3 linked regions of the Canis lupus familiaris genome follow. The protein of the gene in region 1 purifies or fractionates together with the protein of each later gene. This does not show direct contact. Links are inferred from orthologs where the notes say so. Each region holds a gene or a part of one and is shown in the gene's direction. Other genes may lie near its edges. The genes, in order: PTP4A2, CNNM4 and CNNM2.

What was found.
Region 2: the proteins of PTP4A2 (region 1) and CNNM4 purify together in Homo sapiens (affinity purification with mass spectrometry; 6 studies listed by BioGRID and IntAct, counting the BioPlex papers as one, with this or other methods). This does not show direct contact. The link is inferred for Canis lupus familiaris from reciprocal best matches to the Homo sapiens genes PTP4A2 and CNNM4.
Region 3: the proteins of PTP4A2 (region 1) and CNNM2 purify together in Homo sapiens (affinity purification with mass spectrometry; 4 studies listed by BioGRID and IntAct, counting the BioPlex papers as one, with this or other methods). This does not show direct contact. The link is inferred for Canis lupus familiaris from reciprocal best matches to the Homo sapiens genes PTP4A2 and CNNM2.

What each region holds. Positions count from the first base shown.
Region 1 is NC_049223.1:68,628,773-68,632,369, forward strand, and holds part of PTP4A2 (protein tyrosine phosphatase type IVA 2), read left to right. Parts: intron 1-1,138; coding exon 1,139-1,269; intron 1,270-3,597.
Region 2 is NC_049231.1:46,251,539-46,255,838, reverse strand, and holds the start of CNNM4 (metal transporter CNNM4), read left to right. Parts: upstream 1-1,486; coding exon 1,487-2,888; intron 2,889-4,300. UniProt on the Homo sapiens protein: Probable metal transporter. The interaction with the metal ion chaperone COX11 suggests that it may play a role in sensory neuron functions. May play a role in biomineralization and retinal function.
Region 3 is NC_049249.1:15,555,668-15,560,017, forward strand, and holds the start of CNNM2 (metal transporter CNNM2), read left to right. Parts: upstream 1-1,472; coding exon 1,473-3,093; intron 3,094-4,350.

The sequences.
Region 1 (3,597 bases):
TTTCTTATGAGAGAATCTTTCTTTAAAGAAAAGGCATCAGGGGATCCCTGGGTGGCGCAGCGGTTTGGCGCCTGCCTTTGGCCCAGGGCGCGATCCTGGAGACCCGGGATCGAATCCCACGTCAGGCTCCCAGTGCATGGAGCCTGCTTCTCCCTCTGCCTGTGTCTCTGCCTCTCTCTCTCTCTCTCTCTCTCTCTCTCTCTCTGTGACTATCATAAATAAATAAATAAATAAATAAATAAATAAATAAATAAATAAATAAATAAATAAATAAATAAGAAAAGGCATCATAACTTAGAGCTATTTGGGGGATAATCCTCAAAATATTTGTAGAGATCAGTGAGATACTAGTTGGTGTACTTTTTTTTTTTTTTTAAAGACTTTATTCATGAGAGACACAGAGAATGGCAGAGACACAGGCAGAGGGAGAAGCAGGCTCCATGTAGGGAGCCTGATGTGGGACTCAATTCTGGCACCCCAGGATCACACCCTGAGCCAAAGGCAAATGCTCAACCACTGAGCCGCTCAGGCGTCCCAGTTGGTATACTTCTTTGCCACAGTGGACTTTTAAATTATATTGATAGGTGTTGTATTCTCTCTTACTTTGTCTAGGCTTTAAGTATAGTTTTCTCTATTATGTCTAATTATTGCTTTATTCAGATAAATTATTTGAAGACCCTAGTTTCTTACCACTCTGATAAGAGATTTCCATAAGATAAAATTAGATGCTTACAATGCTGGCTACATGTGATTGAGAAGGCTAAGTTACTTGGCACACTTGAATTTTGATCTTGGAAAAAACTTTTCAGCAGTGATCAGAATTGTATTATTTAGGATAGGTATATAGGGGCACCTGGGTGGGTCAGTGTTAAGTGTCCAGCTCTTGATTTTGGCTCAGGTCATCATCTCAAGGTTGTGAGATTGAGCTCCGAGTCTAGCTCTGTGCTGGGAGTGGAGCCTGCTTAAGATCCACACCCCCTGCCCCATCCCCTGCACTCACCTTCTAAAAAAAAAAAAACTGGATAGGTATATAAAGTACAGTTAGTTAAAAGTTAGATGTGTTCTATTGCAGGTATTCTGCAGTAGATTTTATCCTGGAGAAAATAACAACTTAATGTAAAACATCTTTTCTTTCCAGGATTGGCCATTTGATGATGGAGCGCCACCCCCTAATCAGATAGTAGACGATTGGCTAAACTTGTTAAAAACCAAATTTCGTGAAGAGCCAGGTTGCTGTGTTGCAGTGCATTGTGTTGCAGGATTGGGAAGGTAAGCTCTTACATTTTTGTCTGTGAATTCATTATCAAAAATTTCACTCTGATAGACGTTTGTATTTATTACACCAAATATTAAATTGCCTAAAAGAAAAGGAAATGAGAGCTAAAGTTGGTGCAATGGTTTCTTAAGAGTTTGATGCCCATGATAGATTTAGTGGATGATGGCTCAGAAATTGTTTTGAAACTGATTTAATGTAATTATCTTATATTTGAGCTAAAAAAAATTTTTTTTTTGAGCTAAAAATTGGTCTTAATTCAGTATGGATTTTTTCCCCCTCATTTCACATATTCAGAGGGGCTTAGGTCTTTGAGATGAGCAACAAAAAATAATTTTAAATTTCTGAAGAAACTGTGTGGTTAATTTTGGATTGAGATGAACAGGAAGTTAATAGGTGGAGAGCCGATGGCCGAACTTTAAACTTCTGAAAGGAGATGTATGGAGAACAAAAATTAACTTTGATTTTAAAGCCTTTTTCCTTGAGCATTGCATGGAACGGTGTTGCTACAGTCTCATCAACAACAGATTAAATGCTAATTTATGATGTGCACTTTGACTCAGAACAGTAGTGCAGGGTGCTCTTGCCTCCAGGTGGTGGTGACTCAGGTTATTATCTCTGCTCAGGTCTGTTCTTTGCTCTTTTCCCCCCTTTTTTTGCAGTTTAGTGTTGTATAATTTCTTCTTCAGGGCCAGAAGTTCCAGTCCTTATTCTGAAGGGTGAAGATAGTGTCCTAACTTGGGCAGTTTTAAAACTGGTGACTATCCTAGCAGGTAGTCTAAAGTTGGTACCATGTAGTAGATGTTTTACAGTGTCATTTCCCAGGGGCACCAGGGCAGCTCAGTGGTTGAGATCCTGGGGTCTTGAGATCAAGTGCAGCATCAGGCTCCTCAGGGAGCCTGCTTCTCCCTCTGCCTATGTCTCTGCCTTTCTCTCTAATGAAATTTTTTTTAAAAGTCATTTCCCTTGCTAGATTTTTGTCTATGTGTGTAGTAGTATTTTATTGTTAAGGAATCTACTTCTGTGACTGTCCTGAAACCCAGGCTGGATTAACAGTGACAAGTCCTGGAGTTTAACTATACCTCACCTGGACTTGCTGTTTATAACCATTGTCTTCTTTCTCTACCCCAGCTGAAAATCCAGACTCATGAGGCTTCAATCCCTGCCTTCATATTCCTGGAAGACTCCAAATTCAACTATGTTGGAGGCTTTTTCAAAGGAGAAGACAGCTTTGTCTTCCCAGAAGACAAACCCTCTATTTTTTGGTTCATGAAGCAGAGGGCATTCCCCAAACCATGGACAGTTTGAGACCTGCTCAGGCCTCAGTGTCCCCTTGTTAGATGTAAAAAAAAAACCATAACCCTAAAAACATACTTTTATAGAGAACTGTTCTAATTATCAATTCTCTTAGCTCATAGAAAGGATTTTGTTGAAGAAATCTAGTGCCTTTTTAGTATTTGATGAGGAAAAGATAATAAAAAGGTTTTGTGCTGAAATTTTATTTTAAAGATTTTATTTATTTATTTATGAGAGACACACAGAGAGAGAAGCAGAGACGGAGGCAGGGGTAGAAGCAGGCTCCATGCAGGGAGCCCGATACGGGACTCGATCCCAGGACCACGGGATCACGACCCCAGCTGAAGGCAGATGCTCAACCACTGAGCCAGGTGTCCCTGTAATAAAGTTTTTGAGATACTCAATACAGATGACACGTTTGGTCAAATTTTCTTTTTCTTTTTTTTTTTTTTTTCAAATTTTCTTTCTTTTTTTTTTTTTTTTAATTTATGATAGAGAGAGAGAGAGAGAGAGGCAGAGACACAGGCAGAGGGAGAAGCAGGCTCCATGCACCGGGAGCCCGACGTGGGATTCGATCCCGGGTCTCCAGGATCGCGCCCTAGGCCAAAGGCAGGCGCCAAACCGCTGCGCCACCCAGGGATCCCAAATCTTCTTTTTTTTTTTCTGCAATGTTGGTTAAAGACCAATGAAGAATTTTTGATAACATAGAATATGAACATTCAGATAATGTCATGATGTTTAAAGAATAAAGATCTGTTTTTTAGAGAGAGAGAGAGAGAGAGAGAGTGTGCATGCACAGGGGAGGGAATAGGGAAAGGATAGAGAGAATCTTAAGCAGGCTTCATGCCCAGTATGGAGCCCCATACAGGGCTCAGTCTCCCGATGCTGAGATCATGACCTGAGCTGACATCAAGAGTCAGACCCTTAACTGACTGAGCCAACCAGGCACGCCAAGAATAAAGATCTCTTAATGAAGGTATAGAATTTAGTGCTTGGGCAGCACCCAGTGGCTCAGCGGTTTAGCGCTG
Region 2 (4,300 bases), on another chromosome or scaffold:
CTCAGCTCATTTTCACATCATCAGCCCTGGCTGGGCAGTCCCCACCACAATTTGGGGTTAGGGGTTTGGTCCTCCTGGTGGGCAGGCATAAACAACACCAGCTGTGTAGAACATTTAGAGTTGTCCTGTCGTGTTCAAGGCCTAGGCCAGTTGTTCCTATAAGCTTAGTGAGATGGTGCCCTATTATTGTTCTTATCCCCATTTTATAGACAGAAACTGGGGCTGACACTCCATCGTGCCTTCCCAGTCTCACAAGCCTGTTAAGACAGCAATGTGGAGGGACCCCACTTTGTTATTTGTTATTTGTTGTGTGTGTGTGTGTGTGTGTTTTAAGATTATTGATTTATTTGTGAGAGACACACACAGAGAGAGGCAGACACAGGCAGAGAGAGAAGCAAACTTCCTGCGGGGAACCTGATGCGGGATTCGATCCCAGGACCCCGGATCACGACCTGAGCCGAAGGCAGGTCTAGATTCAATTTCCTCATCTGTTATATGGACAGATAACACTAACTCTTAGTGTTGTTCCAAGGATTAAATCAATATTTTGCATGTGTTTACCTGCTTATGGTCTGTTTTTTGCTCTAGACCGTGAAAATCATGCAGGGACTTTGGCTTATTCACGGCTGTATATGGTTAGAGTCTGGAACAAGAGCCGGGCACATAGTAGGTGCTCAGTATTTGTGTCCTGAATGGAAATGACATGAGGATAGCCGAGGCCAGACCCTGGCCCTATTACCCGCGAGAACGTTCTGTTCTACATCCTTAGTTCCCTGGACTGTTCCAACCGGGCAGCCAATGGCCAAAGGGTGCGGGGCCTGGGGGCTGGGGCCGAGGGGACCTACTTCTGGCCTTGGGTCAAGGTCAGCAAAACTCCCAGGAGTGCGGAGGCCATTTCTGCCTGAAAAGTCTCCGAGGACGCAGTCTGCAATGCCTGAGCCCTCAGGTTCCCCTTTCCTTTTTTTTTTTTTTAAATAATAGAAAAAGCATTTTTGTTGCCCGAGCCACCGCGGAGCGGAGGTTGCTGCGGAGAAGGGCCACCCTGGCCCGAGCACCAGTCTCTGGGAAGGAGCCGAGCCCGCGAGGCCCGGCCGGACCGCAGGGACGCCCGGCGAGGCCAGGCAGGAGGCCCGGCGGAGGCGAGCGGGCGGCGCGGCCGCGGGCGGGCGGGAAGGCTGGCGGGGAGGGCGCGCGGGCGGGGGGGAGGGGCGAGGGGCGAGCGCCGCCCCCGCCGCCGCGCCCGCCGCCGCGCCACCTTAAGCTCGGGACCCCCTTAAGGGCGGGCGCGGAGCCGCGCGCCCGGAGGCGGGGCCTCCCATGCAAATGAGGGGCGTGGGTCGGCGGGGCGGGGCGGGCGGGGCGCTGACCTGACGTCAGGCCGGCGGCCGGGGCAGTTGGCTCGGCGGCGGCGAAGCGGCAGGAGCGGCGGCGGGAGCGGGGCCGCGCGGCGGGGCGCGGGGAGCGGCGGCGGCCGACCCGGAGCAACATGGCGCCGGTGGGCGGGGGCGGGCTCCCGGGCGGCGGGCCGGCCCGAGGGCGCCTCCTCCTGGCGGCGCTGCTGCTGCCGGTGCTGATGTGGGCGCGGGGGGCCCGGGGCCAGGGCGACCCCCAGCGGGGCGCGATCCTGGGCATGAGGCTGGCGAGCTGCAACAAAACGTGTGGGATGAACCCAGATGGCATCATCTTCGTGTCCGAGGGCAGCACGGTGAACCTGAGGCTCTATGGCCAGAGGCTGGGCTCCATCTCCAGCAACCTGATCTCCTTCACCGAGGTGGACAACTCCGAGGCCGTCCACAACTCCACCAACTGTCCCGAGCTCACCAAGGACCTGGTGGTCCAGCAGCTGGTCAACCTGAGCCGCGGGAACACGTCCGGGATGCTGGTGGTGCTCACCAAGTTCCTCCGGAGGAGCGAGAACATGAAGCTGTATGCATTGTGCACCCGGGCAGGGGTGGACGGGCCCTGGCAGAGGTGGACCGATAAGGACTCGCTGCTCTTCATGGTGGAGGAGGGTGGGAGGGTCCTGCCCCTCTGGCTGCACATCCTCCTCATTATGGTGCTGCTGGTGCTGTCGGGCATATTTTCTGGCCTCAACCTGGGGCTTATGGCCCTGGACCCCATGGAGCTTCGCATCGTGCAGAACTGTGGCACCCAGAAGGAGAGGCGCTATGCCCGAAAGATCGAGCCCATCCGGCGCAAGGGCAACTACTTACTCTGCTCCCTGCTTCTGGGAAACGTGCTGGTCAACACCTCCCTCACCATCCTTCTAGACAACCTCATAGGATCTGGGCTCATGGCGGTGGCCTCCTCCACTATTGGCATTGTCATCTTTGGGGAGATCGTACCTCAGGCCTTGTGCTCCCGACACGGCCTGGCTGTGGGTGCCAACACTATCATTCTCACCAAATTCTTTATGCTCCTCACCTTCCCCCTCAGTTTCCCCATCAGCAAGCTACTGGATTTTGTTTTGGGCCAGGAGATTCGCACCGTTTACAATCGGGAGAAGCTGATGGAGATGTTGAAGGTGACAGAGCCCTATAATGACCTGGTGAAAGAGGAGCTAAATATGATCCAGGGTGCCCTGGAGCTACGGACCAAAACCGTGGAGGATATCATGACCCAGCTCCAAGACTGCTTCATGATCCGCAGCGATGCCATCCTGGACTTCAATACGATGTCGGAGATTATGGAGAGCGGCTACACCCGCATTCCCGTGTTCGAGGACGAGCAGTCCAATATTGTAGATATTCTCTATGTCAAAGACTTGGCCTTTGTGGACCCCGATGACTGCACCCCCCTCAAGACCATCACCCGCTTCTATAATCACCCAGTACATTTCGTCTTCCATGACACCAAGTTGGATGCCATGCTGGAGGAATTCAAGAAGGGTAAGGCCTGGTGAAGTTCTGCCCGTTAACTGGCTTTGTGACGCCTCTTGTTCGTTCGCTTGCCTGTTTTGTGTCTGCTGGTCCTAGTGTTTTTGTGTGTGACTGCCCATCACTTCCTGTGCCTCTGAGGTGAACGGTATTTGGGGCGGCAGGAACGGTTCCTAAGCATCTGCCGTCTGCCAGGTACTGTGCTTTGTACTCTAGGTGAATCAGAGCCCAGACAACACTTGTGCACTTGGAGGGATAGAGCAAGGCCTCAGGAGCTATGAAGCAGGACAGAGTAAGGCTGATGCCTTAAGAGAGGCCATGGAGATTAGAGTGTGGGCCCCCACATCTGATTGGGGTGAGGTGTGGAAGGGGCTGGGGACCTGGGAAAACCTTCCTAGGGGAGGCAGCATCTGAGGAGAGCCTGAAGATGTGGGGAGACTTGGTCCCTGAGACAAGAGGACCCCTACAAGGAGCCAAGCACCTGAGTGGGGAAGCAAAGGCTGTGCCTGTGGCCCAGCAGGTGGTCCTGTTGAGCTGGGTTTGAGCTCTGCTGTTCAGTGGTCAGTGGGGAGAGGCTGATGTCAGGGTGGAGAGTTTGCTCAGAGCTAGGAGCTGTCGGAAGTTTTCGAGCAAGAGTGATGTTCCTGGGGCTTCTCACCCACAGAAGCTGGATTGGGAGATCTCTGGGTTCCCCACTCAGAACAGTGCCAAGTAATGCTTTCGACTATTCAGCAGAAGCAAGCAGATCAAGTTTTGGTTACTGTTCTGTCTTTTCCCAGGCGCCAAACATAAGCTTCCCTCCTGTGGTCTGCTGGAAATCTTCAGCTGGCCGTGCAGTGCCTTGTGTTTTTTCTCACATGGGTTCTTGGCCAGTTCTCAGGTAGTTAGAAAGGCACTTGGAGGTTTTACTCATCAGCCTCAAAGCTCAGGGCACACACCCCTTTCCTTACGTCCAACAAAACTTTCCTCCCACCTCTGCCACTCAGAAGTCCTCAGTGGCAGTAAACAAGCCAATTATGGAGTGAAACCCTCCTAGGCCAAAGGGAGTGAGGAGGCAGAAAGGGAAGCTCTTTATAAAGGAATGGGGGAGGGGAGGGAGCACATCTTAAATCCAGGACTTTGCTTCCCTTCCCCATAGGTAGAGCTCCTGCTGGCTAAGGCAGCCTGCCAGCCTAGGGCTGGGAGCAGCTTCTGCGCTCCAGTGGGGAACAGGCCTCAGATGCTTGTCGGTCGATTATTTCATGAGGTGGGGAGAGAGCCTGGAACTGGATGGGTCCCTGGTGAGGGGGTGGGATAGGTAGGAGCTGGCCTTGCCAGGTTTGCTCTGATCAGGGCCAGAGTGGGAGATTAGTCCCCTCCCTTTTTCAGAGGGACAGACTGATTTCAGAATCTCTTCAGACAGAATGAACCTCAGCATCAGAGCT
Region 3 (4,350 bases), on another chromosome or scaffold:
GTGATTTGCAAGTATTTTCTTCCATTGAACAAGTTGTCTTCTTGTTTTGTTGGTTTCCTTCAAGTTTTTAGTTTGTTGTAGTCTCATTTGTTTATTTTCGCTTTTGTTTACCTTGCCTTTGGAGTCAGATCCACAATTTAAAAAAAAATCACTAAAACCAATGTCAGAGAGCTTGCTACCTTTTCTTGTCAGAATTTCATGGTTTCAGATCTTAGATTCAAGTCTTTAATTCATTTTGAGTCAATTTTTATACGTGGTGTAAGATGGCATTTAGTTTCATTCATTTGTATGTAACTGTTCAGTCTTCCCAACACCATTCATTGAAGAGACTGTCCTTTCCTCTTGGCTCCTTTTCCTAAATTAACCATATATGTATGGGTCTACTTCTGGGCTCTCTGTTCCATCGCATTGATCCGTATGCCTTTTTCATGCCAATACCGTATTGTTTTGATGACTATAGCTTTGTGGTATAGTGAGGGGATTCCTGACTTGGAAGGTGGGGAAACTGCTTCACTGTAACCTTCTCACCTCTCCCGCAAAGCTTTTGGGGTTTGCAGACCTGGAAAGCATTGCAGGGTGCCAACGTAACCGGCAGGTGGCGCCACGCGACCGCAAGCTGCGGCGTGAGAGCATCCCGTTGGGAGAAGTGAGAAGCTCCAGAAGAGGCAGGTCGCTAGGTGTGGGGCCACCCAGTCGCCGCTAATCCCGGGCGGAGCGGCGCCGACGGGTAGAGGAGGGTGGCGCAGCAGGTGTCCCGGCCTTTCAGGCAAACGCGCTGCTTGAGCCCTCCCCAGTCGGCTTCCCGGGTTCCTGGGGCAGCCTCCGTCGCAGGAACATTGAGCACTGCGGCAGCCGGCAACGCGGTGCCGCGAAAACCGACCGTCCAGGGCCCCAGGACATTAGCCCAGCACTGCCTACCCAGGCGCGGGGAGCTACTACCGAGGCCCCTCGGGGAGCACCAGGCCCGCAGACGGCCCCCTCTCATTGGTAGCCCGACTGCAGGCCCCGCCCCCTCTCGTACAGCTCTCGTCCGTGAGTGGCTCTCGGGCCCCAGCTGGCCACACCTCCTCCCCTCGCACATACACAAGAGTCACGCGCCTTTCAGTAGGAAACTTGGCGTGCCGAGGGGGACGGTGGCTTTCATCGCCCCACCCACCTGCCTTGCCATTGGCCCGCGGCTCCGCTCGTGACCACGCCCCCATTCCAGCCCCCTGGCTGGGAGGGCGGGCACCCGCGCGTGATTGGCTGGTCCGCCTGCCTCTCGCGGGAGCGGCTGGCGCTTCACCCTCCCTTTTCCCCCTCCCGCGAGTCTCCAGGTTCCTCAGCTGGCAGAGGCCGGGTCAGTGTCAGTCAGGGAGCCGGACCGCCGGACCGTGTGTGCGGACGCTCCGCTGCAGTCTCGCCCAGGGGCCGGTGGCTGCGCTCGCGCCGCCGGGTGGGAAGGATGAAGCCGCAGCTGGAGCAGCCACCCTATGATTGGCTGTGGCGCTTGTGAACCCGAAGTAAAGATGGCGGGCGGGCAGGCAGCCGCCGCACTGCCCACTTGGAAGATGGCGGCGCGCCGCAGCCTCAGCGCCCGCGGCCGGGGGGTCCTGCAGGCGGCGGCGGGGCGGCTGCTGCCGCTGCTACTGCTGAGCTGCTGCTGCGGCGCGGGCGGCTGCGCAGCAGCGGGCGAGAACGAGGAGACGGTGATCATCGGGTTGCGGCTGGAGGACACGAACGACGTGTCTTTCATGGAAGGGGGGGCGCTGCGGGTGAGCGAGCGGACCCGGGTCAAGCTGCGGGTGTACGGGCAGAACATCAACAACGAGACGTGGTCCCGCATCGCCTTCACCGAGCACGAGCGGCGGCCTCACAGCCCGGGCGAGCGCGGGCTGGGGGGCCCCGCGCCGCCCGAGCCGGACAGCGGCCCCCAGCGCTGCGGCATCCGCACCTCCGATATCATCATCTTGCCCCACATCATTCTCAACCGCCGCACATCGGGCATCATTGAGATCGAGATCAAACCGCTGCGCAAGATGGAGAAAAGCAAGTCCTATTACCTGTGCACATCGCTCTCCACGCCCGCCCTGGGCGCCGGCGGCCCGGGGTCCGCGGGCGGCGCCGTCGGGGGCAAGGGCGGCTCGGGAGTGGCCGGGCTCCCGCCGCCCCCGTGGGCCGAGACCACCTGGATTTACCACGACGGCGAGGACACCAAGATGATCGTGGGCGAGGAGAAGAAGTTCCTGCTGCCCTTCTGGCTGCAGGTGATCTTCATTTCGCTGCTCCTGTGCCTGTCGGGCATGTTCAGCGGCCTCAACCTGGGGCTGATGGCCCTGGACCCGATGGAGCTGCGCATCGTGCAGAACTGCGGCACCGAGAAGGAGAAGAATTACGCCAAACGCATCGAGCCGGTGCGCAGGCAGGGCAACTACCTGCTGTGTTCGCTGCTGCTGGGCAACGTGCTGGTCAACACCACGCTCACCATCCTGCTCGACGACATCGCCGGCTCAGGCCTCGTGGCGGTGGTGGTCTCCACCATCGGCATCGTCATCTTCGGGGAAATCGTGCCCCAGGCCATCTGCTCCCGTCACGGCCTGGCTGTCGGGGCCAACACCATCTTCCTCACCAAGTTTTTCATGATGATGACCTTCCCCGCTTCTTACCCGGTGAGCAAGCTGCTGGACTGCGTCCTGGGCCAGGAGATAGGCACTGTCTATAACCGGGAAAAACTGCTGGAGATGCTCCGGGTCACCGACCCCTACAACGACCTCGTTAAGGAGGAGCTGAACATCATCCAAGGAGCGCTGGAGCTCCGCACCAAGACAGTGGAGGACGTGATGACTCCGCTCCGGGACTGCTTCATGATCACGGGCGAAGCCATTCTGGACTTCAACACCATGTCGGAGATCATGGAGAGCGGCTACACCCGTATTCCGGTATTTGAGGGGGAGCGCTCCAACATCGTGGACCTTCTCTTTGTCAAAGACTTGGCCTTCGTGGATCCAGATGACTGTACTCCCCTGAAAACCATCACTAAATTTTATAACCACCCCTTGCACTTTGTTTTCAATGACACCAAGTTGGACGCTATGCTGGAAGAATTTAAGAAAGGTGGGAAATTTTGGTATCTTTCATTGGCTTGCTCTCTCTCTCTCTCCATCCTCCTCCCTACTTGAGCCCTCTACCCTCAGATCAACCCCCCAAGGCGAGTTGACCGGAATTTCTCCTGTCTCTTAATTGCAAAGTTGAAAGGGTGGCATGGATTTGGGGGATGGATTGAACTAGAAGGCGCTTCTAGGTTTTCTAAAAGCACGAGACTAACGTCACTCGCTTTTTCGCATTTCAAAAAGCAGGCTTTCTATTTTCTGTGCATGATACTGCTGGCCCTCTGGTCCTGAGGGGTCTGCTGCATACCATTGCCCCAGTTCTGAGTGGGTAAGGTGCAAGTCGGGGCCAGCTAATGCCATGCTGTGCCATCTGGTTGACATGTACTAATCTCAGGCGTTTGGAAAAACATTGAGATAGTTTCTCTAAACTCAGTACAATCCTCTTCTTCCTCCTTAACCATTCACTGACATTTCAGAGATTGGAAGTGCATTTTCGGTAGCTCTGTTCCTGGTTGTCAGGCCACCTGTGGGGCAGATTGGGCTCTGCCTTTTGAGGATAGAGGATGGGTTAAGCCAATATCACCAAAAAGATTTATGCATTTGGGTGTGACTTGCCTTAGCTAGAAAAGAGGGTTTTGTTTTGTTTTGTTTTTTTTCAAAGTAGAGTTATTAATATATAACTTGGAAAGACTAGAGGTGAGTTAACCTTTTATTAGGCTATCTTGTCTAGCTTTCTTCACTATTTGTTTATATTTACTTGACAAATAAATTTCCCAAACCAAGTGTGATTTTGGCAGAAATCTTGAACATTTAACAATGGGATGACGCCCTCTATTGTGGTTTATTTATCGCTAGAGTTTTTCTGGTTTATAAGTGTTCTTCTTGACCTTGATCGCTTGGTATGTTAAGTTGAAGTGTGTCTTCAAGTCAGTTCTCAATGTTCTGGGGAGTTTTAATAGGGAAGCTACCTGCAGAGTCTGATGTGCTCACCTTTCCCCGCATGGTGGTTATTTTTTGTTTGTTTTACCGTGTAATGAACAGGCAAATAGCAACTCATGCTATTATTAACTGAAATTCTGTCTTTAAAAAAAGTTTCCAGTAAATAGTTAGTGTTGCTATTTGAAAACCATGGGCGGCCGAGCTGTTTAATTGCTGTGGTGCTAGTGTAGGTATTAAAATATGTATGTGACCTTTAATGACCTGATAGTCTTCAAAACTAAGTTTTCCTTCTTCAGATAGAATTTTGAGCACTCATAGTGGT